3 linked regions of the Danio rerio genome follow. The protein of the gene in region 1 binds, or shares a complex with, the protein of each later gene. Links are inferred from orthologs where the notes say so. Each region holds a gene or a part of one and is shown in the gene's direction. Other genes may lie near its edges. The genes, in order: ndufaf1, ecsit and tmem186.

The links.
Region 2: ndufaf1 (region 1) and ecsit share a complex: the UniProt entries of both Homo sapiens proteins name them as parts of the mitochondrial complex. The link is inferred for Danio rerio from reciprocal best matches to the Homo sapiens genes NDUFAF1 and ECSIT.
Region 3: ndufaf1 (region 1) and tmem186 share a complex: the UniProt entries of both Homo sapiens proteins name them as parts of the mitochondrial complex. The link is inferred for Danio rerio from reciprocal best matches to the Homo sapiens genes NDUFAF1 and TMEM186.

Annotation. Positions count from the first base shown.
Region 1 is NC_133188.1:36,685,555-36,689,842, forward strand, and holds the start of ndufaf1 (complex I intermediate-associated protein 30, mitochondrial), read left to right. Parts: upstream 1-1,441; 5' UTR 1,442-1,668; intron 1,669-2,149; 5' UTR 2,150-2,205; intron 2,206-2,276; exon of another isoform or gene 2,277-2,335; 5' UTR 2,336-2,396; intron 2,397-3,393; exon of another isoform or gene 3,394-3,396; 5' UTR 3,397-3,439; coding exon 3,440-3,958; intron 3,959-4,288. Other genes in the region: RNA polymerase-associated protein RTF1 homolog, read right to left, coding at 1,252-1,335. UniProt on the Homo sapiens protein: As part of the MCIA complex, involved in the assembly of the mitochondrial complex I.
Region 2 is NC_133182.1:17,784,128-17,788,560, reverse strand, and holds the start of ecsit (evolutionarily conserved signaling intermediate in Toll pathway, mitochondrial), read left to right. Parts: upstream 1-1,591; 5' UTR 1,592-1,639; intron 1,640-3,262; 5' UTR 3,263-3,315; coding exon 3,316-3,453; intron 3,454-3,868; coding exon 3,869-4,283; intron 4,284-4,367; coding exon 4,368-4,433. Other genes in the region: eml3 (echinoderm microtubule-associated protein-like 3), read right to left, coding at 1,004-1,028.
Region 3 is NC_133197.1:27,567,917-27,571,202, forward strand, and holds tmem186 (transmembrane protein 186), read left to right. Parts: upstream 1-1,573; 5' UTR 1,574-1,596; coding exon 1,597-1,605; intron 1,606-1,694; exon of another isoform or gene 1,695-1,770; intron 1,771-1,876; coding exon 1,877-2,554; 3' UTR 2,555-2,759; downstream 2,760-3,286. UniProt on the Homo sapiens protein: As part of the MCIA complex, required for efficient assembly of the mitochondrial complex I.

The DNA of each region.
Region 1 (4,288 bases):
CAGAAAAGAAGTAATTAACCTATATTCAAGTATACAGATCCAGTTTTCCATGACTTTTCCAAAACCTTTTCTGTTTTTCCAAAATTTTTCCAGGCCTGGAAAATGTCATGTCAAAATTCCATGACTTTTCCAGGTTTTGCATGACCGTATGAATCCTGAACTCGTCTGTCACACTGCAATATTCTTCTGTTATTTTGCTTGTTTTGGCAAAATATGTCTGTAAGCACATGTGATTGCATGTGTTACCATCCCGTGAGTTAACAAACACGTTAAATGTTTACACAGCCAAACTTTAATCAAATTGAATACTTGTAGAGATATCATTATTAATTTGCCTTATACAATACATTGTTATGACTTTCTTCGGTAAGATTTTATTTGATGGTCCCTATTTCACATTTTGTTGGCTAAAAGTTGCATTGCAACTACATGCCAATTAATTCTCATTAGAGTATTAGTAGTCTGTCTGCTTAATATCTGTTGATATTGCTCTTTCAACATTGAACTGACTATAAGAAACTTTGCAAGTACATGTTACCTTACACTAACCCTTACCCCAATCTTACAGTCTACTTATAATCTAATGAGAATTAGTTGGCATGTGGATGCAATGTAACTTAAATTCAACCAATGAGTTAAATGGACCATGAAGTACTAAATAAAGTGATACCCATTCTTCTAATAACTACCCTAACTAATTATTTATCTTATTAATTGTCTAAAAGAGCTTTTTAATGGTCATTAGCAGTTTTATCATATATCACGGTGGGTTTGTTATTTATGGACAAAACAGTCAACTTTATTACATGAATATTTCTCCATGCTCTTATATCAATGAATCATGTGACTTTCTACCCAATCAGAGAGCATGTTTCTGGGAAGTGTTTGATGAGCGTCTGTCCGCTCTAGTGTTTCGTCTTATTTCTGCAACCGAAATAGAAGTTTAGCCGCGGCGCTGTGACGTCATAAAACAGTAAAGGTTCTAAACGCACGCGACTGCTTTCTTTACTAAAGCCGAAATGCGCGCGCACTGCAGGCCACAATAAAAAGCACTCCAAGCATCCCGAATTCAGGTGTAACTGCCTCAATAGCAGCACGACGCCACCATACAGGCCCCTGCTAACCAGCTAGCTTTCCCACATCACTTAGCATGGGACTCCAACACACACATACAGTCCTGACACATTTGTGCCCTAGAAATCGGCAAACAGCGATGTTTTTGGATCACATTCGCGTCAATGAGGTTCCTACCTGATCCAAATTATCATCGCTCGCACTATCCTCCGAGTCGGAGTCAATCACGACCCGACCTTTCCGTTTCTTTACATTCACCATGGTTAGCTGCCTGGCTCCCCTGTGTGTGTGTTTAAACAGCAGCGCCGCACTCCTCCACACAAAGGCGCTAGAGCTACACCGCGCATGCGCACACGCCACCACAAATACATCGACAAGTTTACAGTACCACTTACGTGCTGTTTCTGATAATGTCAAATATAATGTAAAGTACATTAACCACAATTATGATAACATTTGTTAACCACTAAATGTGGGGTTGGTAGGGGGTGAACTGCGAGGAATGTTCGTTGTCGGTAGGACCATAAGCGGATGTCCTTGTTTCAAGTAAGGGCAAATTAAATGACGGGCCGCGAAGGCGCATTTGACTTTTGTGTAAGTATTGCTTAAATATTTTTAATTTATTTATTGATATGTTGTTGATAAATGTGGTCACCGTCAGTGTTTGTACGTTAGCTTTGCTGTAACAATTAAACTTAATCTTCAAATCATGAAGTGTGGGGATTTTAACACGTGTTATTGTACCGCTGACCCTCTCTAGATTAATTTATAACCTTGTTGCTATGGAAGCCAAATATGATAATCCACATGCAAGAGGAATTCCCTGAAAATTACATCTTCATGTATAAAAACTGGCAGATTTATACAAACTTAAATTGCCTTAATAGGTATATACTGTTGTGTAATTGTATTTGTAAATAATTTCCATTTGGTGAGCTTCTACGATAGCAGTTATTTAAATGTACATTTTATTATATTCTCATCTGAATCCATGATTATTCACTTAATCTAAATCATAATAGTAATTACGCATTTATATATTATGTCCACTGTTTTTCTCTAAACCTTTCCATAGACCCTCTTGCACCTCCTTGAAAAAACTCGAATTCAAGAGATCAGCACCATTTTCAGGTACATTAATTTAATAATCACAATGCAAAAAAAAAAATGTTTTTTCTTACTTTGCTTTATCTCTTTTCTAGTCCAAATATCTAAAAAAAATCTTAATCAGGGAAAACTATTGCTGTGTTTTAAAATTCAGATGAAATGAGGCGAAGTTGAGAGTTTTCTCCTTAAAACAAGCAAAAACTTATGCTAGTGGGGTAAGTTAAATAATCCTGTTTTCACTTTGAAATGTAGATGTTTAGACTAGAATGACAAAAAACTTAAACGAATGTACATTAATTTTGTATTAAAACATTAATGAATACAATTCTAACGCTTTTGGTCAACTATAATCCAGACTTAACATTGCATGTCTTTGCAATGACTATTGCAGATGTGCACATTGCGATATCGATGCTGAAACTATATATTGTGCAGCCCTAGTTCCTGTTCAGTGATAATTGACTCAATAATTTTTTCTACAGTTTAAAACCTTCAAAGGGGTAGGTCACCTCAAAATTAAAATATTGTTCTCATTTACTTACCCTTTACTTGTTTCAACCTTTAATTAGTTTCATTCTTCTGTTACACACACAAAGTATATTCTGAAGAATTCTTAAACCTGCAATCATTGTTACATGGAATTTGGTAAGTGGTTACAGATTTTTACCATTCTTCAAAGTATCTTTTCTTGTGTAGAAGAAAGAAACCCATAAAGTAACCATTGAGTAAAAGGGTCGTAAATTTAAAATTTGTGTGAACTATTCCTTTAAATCAGAACAGGAAGTATTACATTTATAAAATAAAGTATGGGTGACTCGGTGGCTTGTCGCCTCACAGCAAGGTCACTGGTTCAAGTCCTGACTGGGTCAGTTGGCATTTCTGTGTGGAGTTTGCATGTGCTCCACGTGTTGGTGTGGGTTTCCTTTGGGTACTCTGGTTTCCCCCATAGTCCAAAGACATGTGCTATAGGTGAATTGAATAAGGTAAATTGTCTGTTGTGTGTGCGTCTGAGTGAGTGTGTATGGATGTTTTTCAGTACTGGGTTGCGCTGTGTAAAACATATGCTGTATAAGTTGGCGGTTCATTCCACTGTGACAACCCCTGACAAATAAAGAAACTAAGCTGGAATGAAAATAAATAAATGAAAATAATGGCTCTAAATGATGCATATACGATTTTACTGTTTGTTATAAATGTTTTTAATTTTTTCAGCAGTCTTCTGGATGTCTAATCTGATCCCAAGAGCTACCCAGACTAAATGGCTGTATCGAGAACAACACTCAAGTCCCTGTATGGAGTTTGTGGAGTGGTTTACAGACAGCCTCTGTTGTTCCCTTCCTCACTCAAATGTGCATCTATACAGATCACCAGGAGCAAGTTTGAGCGAGATTACCAGAGACCCGGTCAGCCTCCAGACACACGCTGGCCTTGGCAGATGATAAACTTTGATTTCTCCAAAGGTGTGGAGAGTGTCAGGAAGCACTTTGGCTTGTTAAAGGATGAGTTTTTCCAGCGCTGGATTGGACCGGAAGGAAAGCCAATAATAGAGCACATGCTGGAACAGACCCGTGTCGTGTGGGAGTTTCGGGGTCCTGAGAGTCTAAATGAGTGGATTGTGTCATCTGATCAGGAGATTGGGGGCCGCAGTGTGGCTTATGTCAGTCTGGGCAAAAACAACACCACGTGTTTGCTGTATGGGACCTTGAGCTCCACCCCTCCACGTGATGGAGAGACTCGATACAGTGGATACTGCTCTATGCGCTCCAAACCCCCAAAGGTCAGTGCTGAGATCCCACATCTGTGTCTCTTTATTATTTTTACCAACATTTAATGCATTTACTTAAGATTTTTTACATTCTGCAAACGTTATTCAATCAATGCATTTGTACAGCAGGTATTTAAAGAAATGGGACATAATACATTGCCAGATTCTTTTAAAAGTGCAGTAGGTGATCTTTCACAATGCTAACAGCTTAGCATAAATCTCTGAATCACAGTCCCTCCCCTGCCGTCCAGAGCCACGCCTCCTGAAACAGGAGCACGTGCACCTTAAAGATGACAGCAAAACAACCCTCTCTCGTATAAAAAGCGACTAGTGCTTGTCCGG
Region 2 (4,433 bases), on another chromosome or scaffold:
ATTTGAGTAAACAAAGAAATTTGAGCACGGTAAAAATCAAATAATTAAAGAGAACTCAAACCAATTGACTACTATAAACACAGTAAGTTAAGGCAGCTTAAACAGTTTGGGGACACTGACTGCTACAAACCATTTGAGTAAAAAAAAAAAGTAATCTTTATGAGTACTGTGAACTTACTCTTTTTAAGTTTAAGTAATGAGGTACTTAATTAACACATTACCGAGAGTTTAAAACTCTTTTTAATTGAGTAGAAATAATTTTTTTAAATAAATTTTGAGTTAACTACACTCATTTAATTTGATACAGTTGACTGTTGGGTTTTACAGTATATAATAAGCTATCAGAATTAGTGTTTAATTTAGCTAAAGCCAGTGGTTTAAGAAGTATTGCATGCATTCTTACGCTGGTCAGGCCTGTTTTCTGATTTTTTTAAGACACATTTCAGTTAGCCAGAGCTCCCAACTAAACACCAGCCTGTCTGGCCACATTACGAGACCAACAATCAAGTTTAGACTTGCTTAAGCTACTCTTATAGCTCAAATCAAACAATCGTGAACGCAATAATACAATAATTACAGTAACCGTTGTCGGAAACTCTGTTACCATGGTGTTTTTTCTATGAGGGAAGCTTGAGATACAGTGTCAGTAACTGTTACACCCTGCACTTACACACACACGCTTCATATACAATAAAACAACTAAATATACATATAAAAAGTCTATATTCGTTAAATAAAGTAAACTTAATTACGGTTTAGTTTAGTTTCAACCGTTTTAACCGCATATTTAAATGTCAACAGTGGCGAGCGTTGTTTCATTCGCATTTTAACAAACTCAGAAATGGTAACGTTATGTTCAAAGTGTTTTGCTGAACTAGTTAACTCAACAACAAACTAAAAAAACAAAAGTTGGTTTAACAACAAACGTTAAAAACAAAAGATCTCGTTTATATTTATGTTACGAAGACATAAACAGAGTAAGTGACAGTATTTATCAACTCACCAAGACTGTTCGTAGATCCATCCATGACTAAATCAAACACTCCTTGCAGATTTCACAATTGTGGAATTATATGAGTATGTCCCATTGGCAGAAAGGCAGTGTGTGCTGTGAGCTGCAGCATTGCCTTGTGTTTGCGGGACCCTCGCGCACAATAAACACTGAGCCGCTGAGAGGATTGCAGAAGTTGCTGTAACTCTGAAATCACGAATCCAGGAAATGAGCACAGAGTGAATCTGTCTTTCGCATGAGGAGGCAAGTGCAGCTCAAAACCTGGATTCACTCCAGAAACCGCGTCCGTGTGAAAAACGTTGATTTCTAATTCATCCTTCTCCCCAGGCGAAGCGAAACTGAAATAAATCGCGCTAATCCGCTGCTGTTCCGTTCCCTCTCCCAAAACCCCGCTTAAAGCAAACTAAAAACAAAACTTTGACAGCTGCAGATGGGAGTTTTTTTTACTTGATACATCTCTGCCACCTAGTGTTGATGGATTGAATAACATAGGAACCAATATGTGAGAGAATGCGTCTTTCTAGTGTTTCAGGGGGAATTTTGTGGATGGCGCACCAGGAAACTCGCCGGTGCGTGTTTGAAGGAGACTTGACAGCAAAATGATCCGAGTCAATTCAGGGATCGTGAGTACGTTTTAAAGTATTATTTACGCATGTTTTGTAATTTATGGTCTCTTTTTATATCGGACAATTATAAATATGCTAAAATCCAAATGCGAAAGCCATACATAATGTGATTGTTGTATTATATAATTATGCATTACACTTGTTTGGCATTGAATTTCCAGGATAGATAGATAGATAGATAGATAGATAGATAGATAGATAGATAGATAGATAGATAGATAGATAGATAGATAGATAGATAGATAGATAGATAGATAGATAGATAGATAGATTTCACAATAACGTGATGATCATTAATTTTAATAGATTTAAATTGAATCATTCAGATATACCTCTATTAATAAATATTGAGACCACTTGAAAATCCAATTTCTTTATGTTCCAAATTGAATTTTTATTTGAAATGGGGAAGAAATTCAGTAGAATAAAGTATAATTTAAAAAGCAATATTTTGAAGAAAGCTTGAAACCTGTCTCCATTGACTTAATTAACTTCTATCATAGGAAAACCATTCACTTTTTACTTGTATAGTTGGAAAACATTTCACTATTGACTTCTATAGTAGGAAAACCTATCACCATTTTCTATAGTAGGAAACCCTGTCCCCATTGACTTCTAAAGTAGGAAAACCTTTCACCATTGACTTCTATAGTAGGAAAACCTGTCCCCATTGACTTCTATAGTAGGAAAACCTGTCCCCATTGACTTCTATAGTAGGAAAACCTGTCACCATTGACTTCTATAGTAGGAAAACCTTTCACCATTGACTTCTATAGTAGTAAAACCTATCACTATTGATTTCTATTGTAGGAAAACCTGTCCCCATTGACTTCTATAGAAGGAAAACCTGTCACCATTGACTTCTATAGTAGGAGAACCTGTCACCATTGACTTCTATAGCAGGAAAACCTGTCACCATTGACATCTATAGTAGTAAAACCTGTCACCATTGACCTCTATAGTAGTAAAACCTGTCACCATTGACCTCTATAGTAGGAAAACCTGTCCCCATTGACTTCTATAGAAGGAAAACCTGTCACCATTGACTTCTATAGTAGGAGAACCTGTCACCATTGACTTCTATAGCAGAAAAACCTGTCACCATTGACATCTATAGTAGTAAAACCTGTCACCATTGATTTCTATAGTAGTAAAACCTGTCACCATTGACCTCTATAGTTGTAAAACCTGTCACCATTGACTTCTATAGTAGTAAAACCTGTCACCATTGACCTCTATAGTAGTAAAACCTGTCACCATTGACCTCTATAGTTGTAAAACCTGTCACCATTGACTTCTATAGTAGGAAATCCTGTCACGATTAACTTTTATAGTTGGAAAACCTGTCACCACTGACCTCTATAGTAGGAACAGGTTTTCAGCTTTCTTCAAAGATCTTCCTTTGTGTTCAAGTCCAATTCAAACCACTTTGGAACAAGTGAAGAGTGAAGAAATGACAGATTTACAGTTTTGAATGAACCATCCCTTTAACATAACAGTATATCATGACAAACTCTCGAGAAACAGAGAACTTCCAAGTAGTTATTAAGTTATTTCTAATTACTTTAAGATACATTGTCACAAAGAGTTAAATATTCTAATACTTTCTGCTGTTCCTTTTTAGGCTCATTTCAATACAGCTGTAATTGATCTGAAGTGATTTGTGATGTCGTCATCATGAGCGCCTCTCATCATCTGCTACGGTTGCAGTGCGTCAGGTGCCTTTCCCATTTTTTGGGGACACCTGTACGGCAAGTGATCCTGCCTGGCCGAGCACATCTGCAAACCCCTGGATCACAGCACATCTACGTCCAGGTACATGTTTACTTCTGAATAATGATGGATTTGAGATCATGGGTGCCTGCATTAAAGGGATAGTTCCCTCAAAAATGAAAATGTACCTACTATTTACTCAGTGTTTACAAACTTGATAAGTTTCTTTAAAATCTTAAACACAAAAGAAGATATTTTGAAGAATGCTGAAAACCGGTTACCATTGATCTCTATAGTAGGAACTAAAATAGTATGGAAGTCAATGGTTACAGGTTTTAAGCATTCTTCAAAATATCTTCTTTGTGTTCAATAGAAGAAAGAAATGTTTGGAACAAGTGAAGGGTGAGAAAATAATGACGGAATTTAATTTTTGAGTGAACTGTCCCTTTAACTCCTCTGTTTGTTTGTTTGTTTGTTTGTTTGTTTGTTTGTTTGTTTGTTTGTTTGTTTGTTTTAGCTCCTGAGGCCATTCCATCGCAGTGCAGTGTGTTCCACGGACCGTCAAAATCGGACAGACATTGAAAAATTAGTTGAAGATGAGACGCATCATAAAGACAAAACTTTAGTCACACATGATGATATTTTTGACCGAGCTGCTGGAGACTCAAAAACCAAAGTCGAATTTAACAGGGTGGTGGATGTTTTCAAAAGCAAGGACATTCGGCGACGAGGGCATGTGGAGTTTATATACGCCGCCCTGAAAAAGATGCCTGAATTCGGTGTAGAATGTGACGTTACCGTTTACAACAAACTCCTGGATGTGTTTCCAAAAGAGGTGTTTGTGCCACAAAACTTCATACAGAGGATGTTCAACCACTACCCGCGGCAGCAAGAGTGCGGAGTCCAGGTGCTGGAGCAGATGGAGAATTATGGTGTGTGTTTTTGATTTGAGATAATAGAAACTGAATAAATTGTGTTGTTGATTTGACAACTCTTCATTTTTATTATTTTGCCAGGTGTTATGCCAAACATAGAAACCAAGGTTTTATTGGTTCAGATTTTTGGGGAGAAGAGTCATCCCA
Region 3 (3,286 bases), on another chromosome or scaffold:
AAAAACTGTCCGATTTATTAAAAACAATTATGAAATGAGATAAAAACTAAAAATAGAATCATTATTACCGGTTTCAATTGCGGGAAATATTTATCATTTGATGTGTTTATTTAACTGAATTTTAGTCATGGCAACGGAAGTACTTTTATTTTGGAGTATGCTAGACTTTCTATCAAGTCCAGCTTCACATCGCTTAGGGTAGTTGTGCTCAAATTTAGATTTTAAAATTAATTTATCGGTATTTTTTTTTAACAAATTACTTTAAACATTGATGTTACCAGCGTGCGAATTATACATTGACGAACGAATGGGTCAACTTTTTTGATAGTAGTTTGGTAATACATTCTTCAGTGAATCAAATGTATTAATGTACTAAAATTACACCTCATTTATTATTAAAATGTATACGCTTTCAGTGTATTGATATTTAGTGATTTTTTAGAAGTTGCTGAAGGTCAAAATACAACTATTTTACAAGAAGTGTTTTGTGAAAACTTGAGATGTCTATCGGTGCCAGTTTCAGACTGTTGTTGAATGATATTTTTTCTTAGTATTGATTGGGGCGATTATATTTTCACACATGGTATGAACCATTATAAGGGTATATTTATTATGTTATAAATTTTTTATTTTCAATATTTAATTAAAGAGCTATTAAAGAGCTGACCCCCCCTATTCATCTTGTTTTAATGTCCTTCAGGGGGGACAAAGAAGTGTTAATGAGGGGTCAATCCCCCCACCCTCCAACCCCCCTGTAATTCGCACCCTTGATGTTACCCACGACACTTTTATGGTACTGAAACAATCAATTGTTTTTTAATGCTAAAATTTTTGCCAAAATTAGAAATAACGTGTCGAATAATAATATATAAATGCTTATTAATTGTTTTTATTTTCACTTTAATTAAATATTAATGACACCGAATAATTAATAACAAGGAAAATGTCATGCAAAATGAGAAATAAAATGCTTACTTTTTCACATCAAAGGAACAAATCAGTAAATAATAATAATAAAAAATAAATAAAATTACGGGATATATGTATATATAAATATATAAGGGATATATAAATTACAAAAAATTGCATAAGAAAAATTATTTCAGAATTGCACACATTCTTATAGCTTTTTTATTTGTTATGTCTTGTAGGGTTTCAATATGCATAAGATAAGTTTTAAACAAATAAATATTAGGCTTATCATTGGATCAGTTTTGTTTGTGTACATGGTACTTCCCATATATTATCATTAAATTAATAAACAAATTTTGCTCCAAGGTTTAGTTGTTATTATTGAATATCAAAAAATATTTTTACAAGAAAACTGAATTTTTAATTTAGTAAGTTTAAATATAAAATGTTCAACATCAAACCAAAATATTTGGGTATATGTGCATTCAACAAACAGGTGTTTTATCGATTCCTTCTCTAATTCACAAAAAGTGCACGTAGATTCCATGTCTCTAAAATATTTTTAACAACTTGTTTCAAAAACGATTTTGACAAGCGTTGATTTAAGGACTTTTATTTTGAAACGATACATAATATAACTCATGTCCAGCTTCACAGAAGAAGTGCGCGATGCACTGAACTTGTATGGACATGGTGAGTTCATTCAAAACTGAAATAATATTTAATAATAATGCGCGTTATTTAATTATGCTTATGTATTTTCTATGATTATCGCATATAAGAAGCTGGAACGCATAATCTGAGCCAACACAACAACTGCCTTTGTCAAGCACTGTTTTTATCAACATAATAAACAAGGTCAAATAGTCAATAGTCATGATGGTTACATTATCAAAATATTTTGTGTTGTTTTAATAATTAACATTAATAATAACTACTGTTGTGATGCTTACTGTCTCCTCAGATGATGATGTCAACAAGATTAATCCACCTTTCCCGTCATTTCCCTCAATATGGCTTTCGATGCCATCCTTCAGGACTTATTTCAAGTGCTCGCATGCAATACAACATCAACAACGGCCTGGCACACATGGGTAAACAGATGCCCAACACATCCACACACACCACGCGGATTCACCCGGCCTCATTCTCCTCTGACCTTGCCTCAAGAAAATACAGTCTAATCTATGCATTTCCACTAATCAGGGGCCTGCGGGCTCTTTCAAGACTCAAACTCTTACAGACGGGCATCACTGTTGTCCTGCTGCCCACTGTGTATTACCTCCACCTGCAGGGCCAGGCATCAGTGTTGGTCTTAAATCGCTCAATAGGCATTGCCTTGTTTGCTGGAGTCATGCTGTACTCCATAAGCCACTTTGTCAGAAGAGTGGTTGGCATGATGTATTTGGATTCAACACAGACCATATTAAAGGTGTCACATCTTAGCTTTTGGGGTCACAGAAGAGACATTTATGTACCCGTCTCAGATGTTGTGACTCTGGGAGATTCAGGAGACTCCAGGGGAGAATCAATTCTTCGGTTAAAGCGCTACAGCACTTCTAATACCATGTACTTTTCTACCAGACTGGGACGAGTGGTGGATAGACACGCATTTGGGAAGGTTTTTGGGAGTTTGTCATGAATTTGTGTAGTTTTGTATGTCATGTCATATGAAACTTTCCCAAAGTGAGAAATTAAAGATCTTATGGTAAAGTTAAGTATATGTAGCTTTTGTTTTGTGCATTTTATTAATAATTAGTGATGTAACAGATCACAAATCTTACGGTTTGGATCATATAATGTTTTTTTTAGTCACAGATCGGACTAGCCAAAAAGGGGAGGAGACAAATGTCATTTCTTTTCCATTTTATTACAAAAACTGCACTGCAAGAAACATTTGGTTTCAAAAAAACAAAAGTAAGAACCCTTATATTTATAAAAAAAAAAAATGAAGAAATAATTAGCTAAATATAAATAAATGGTAAAATATTCAGTACTGTGGAAAGATTCACAATTTCTGCTACTGTTGCTGATGACACTAAATGTAGAAATCTAACATTATAATTTGTACAACCCATATTTATTTTTAGTCTCGTTTTCAATAAATGCTTGTTATTTACTCATAAAACTTCATGTTTCATTGCTAGATGGATCATTTTTTATTATTATTCAGTGGCATATTTTTGATGGCTGGTTGAATTCAACCTATTGGTTAAATAATGTAATTACTGCTTACAACCTTTATTTTTGAGCGTCAAGTTAAATGTATATGACGTTAATTTTAATTTTTACCATAAACATCAGTGGTTTATTCTAAACTATAAACTGTTATCCCAGTACTTCTGTGTTATTTGATTGATTGTAACTCCATAAC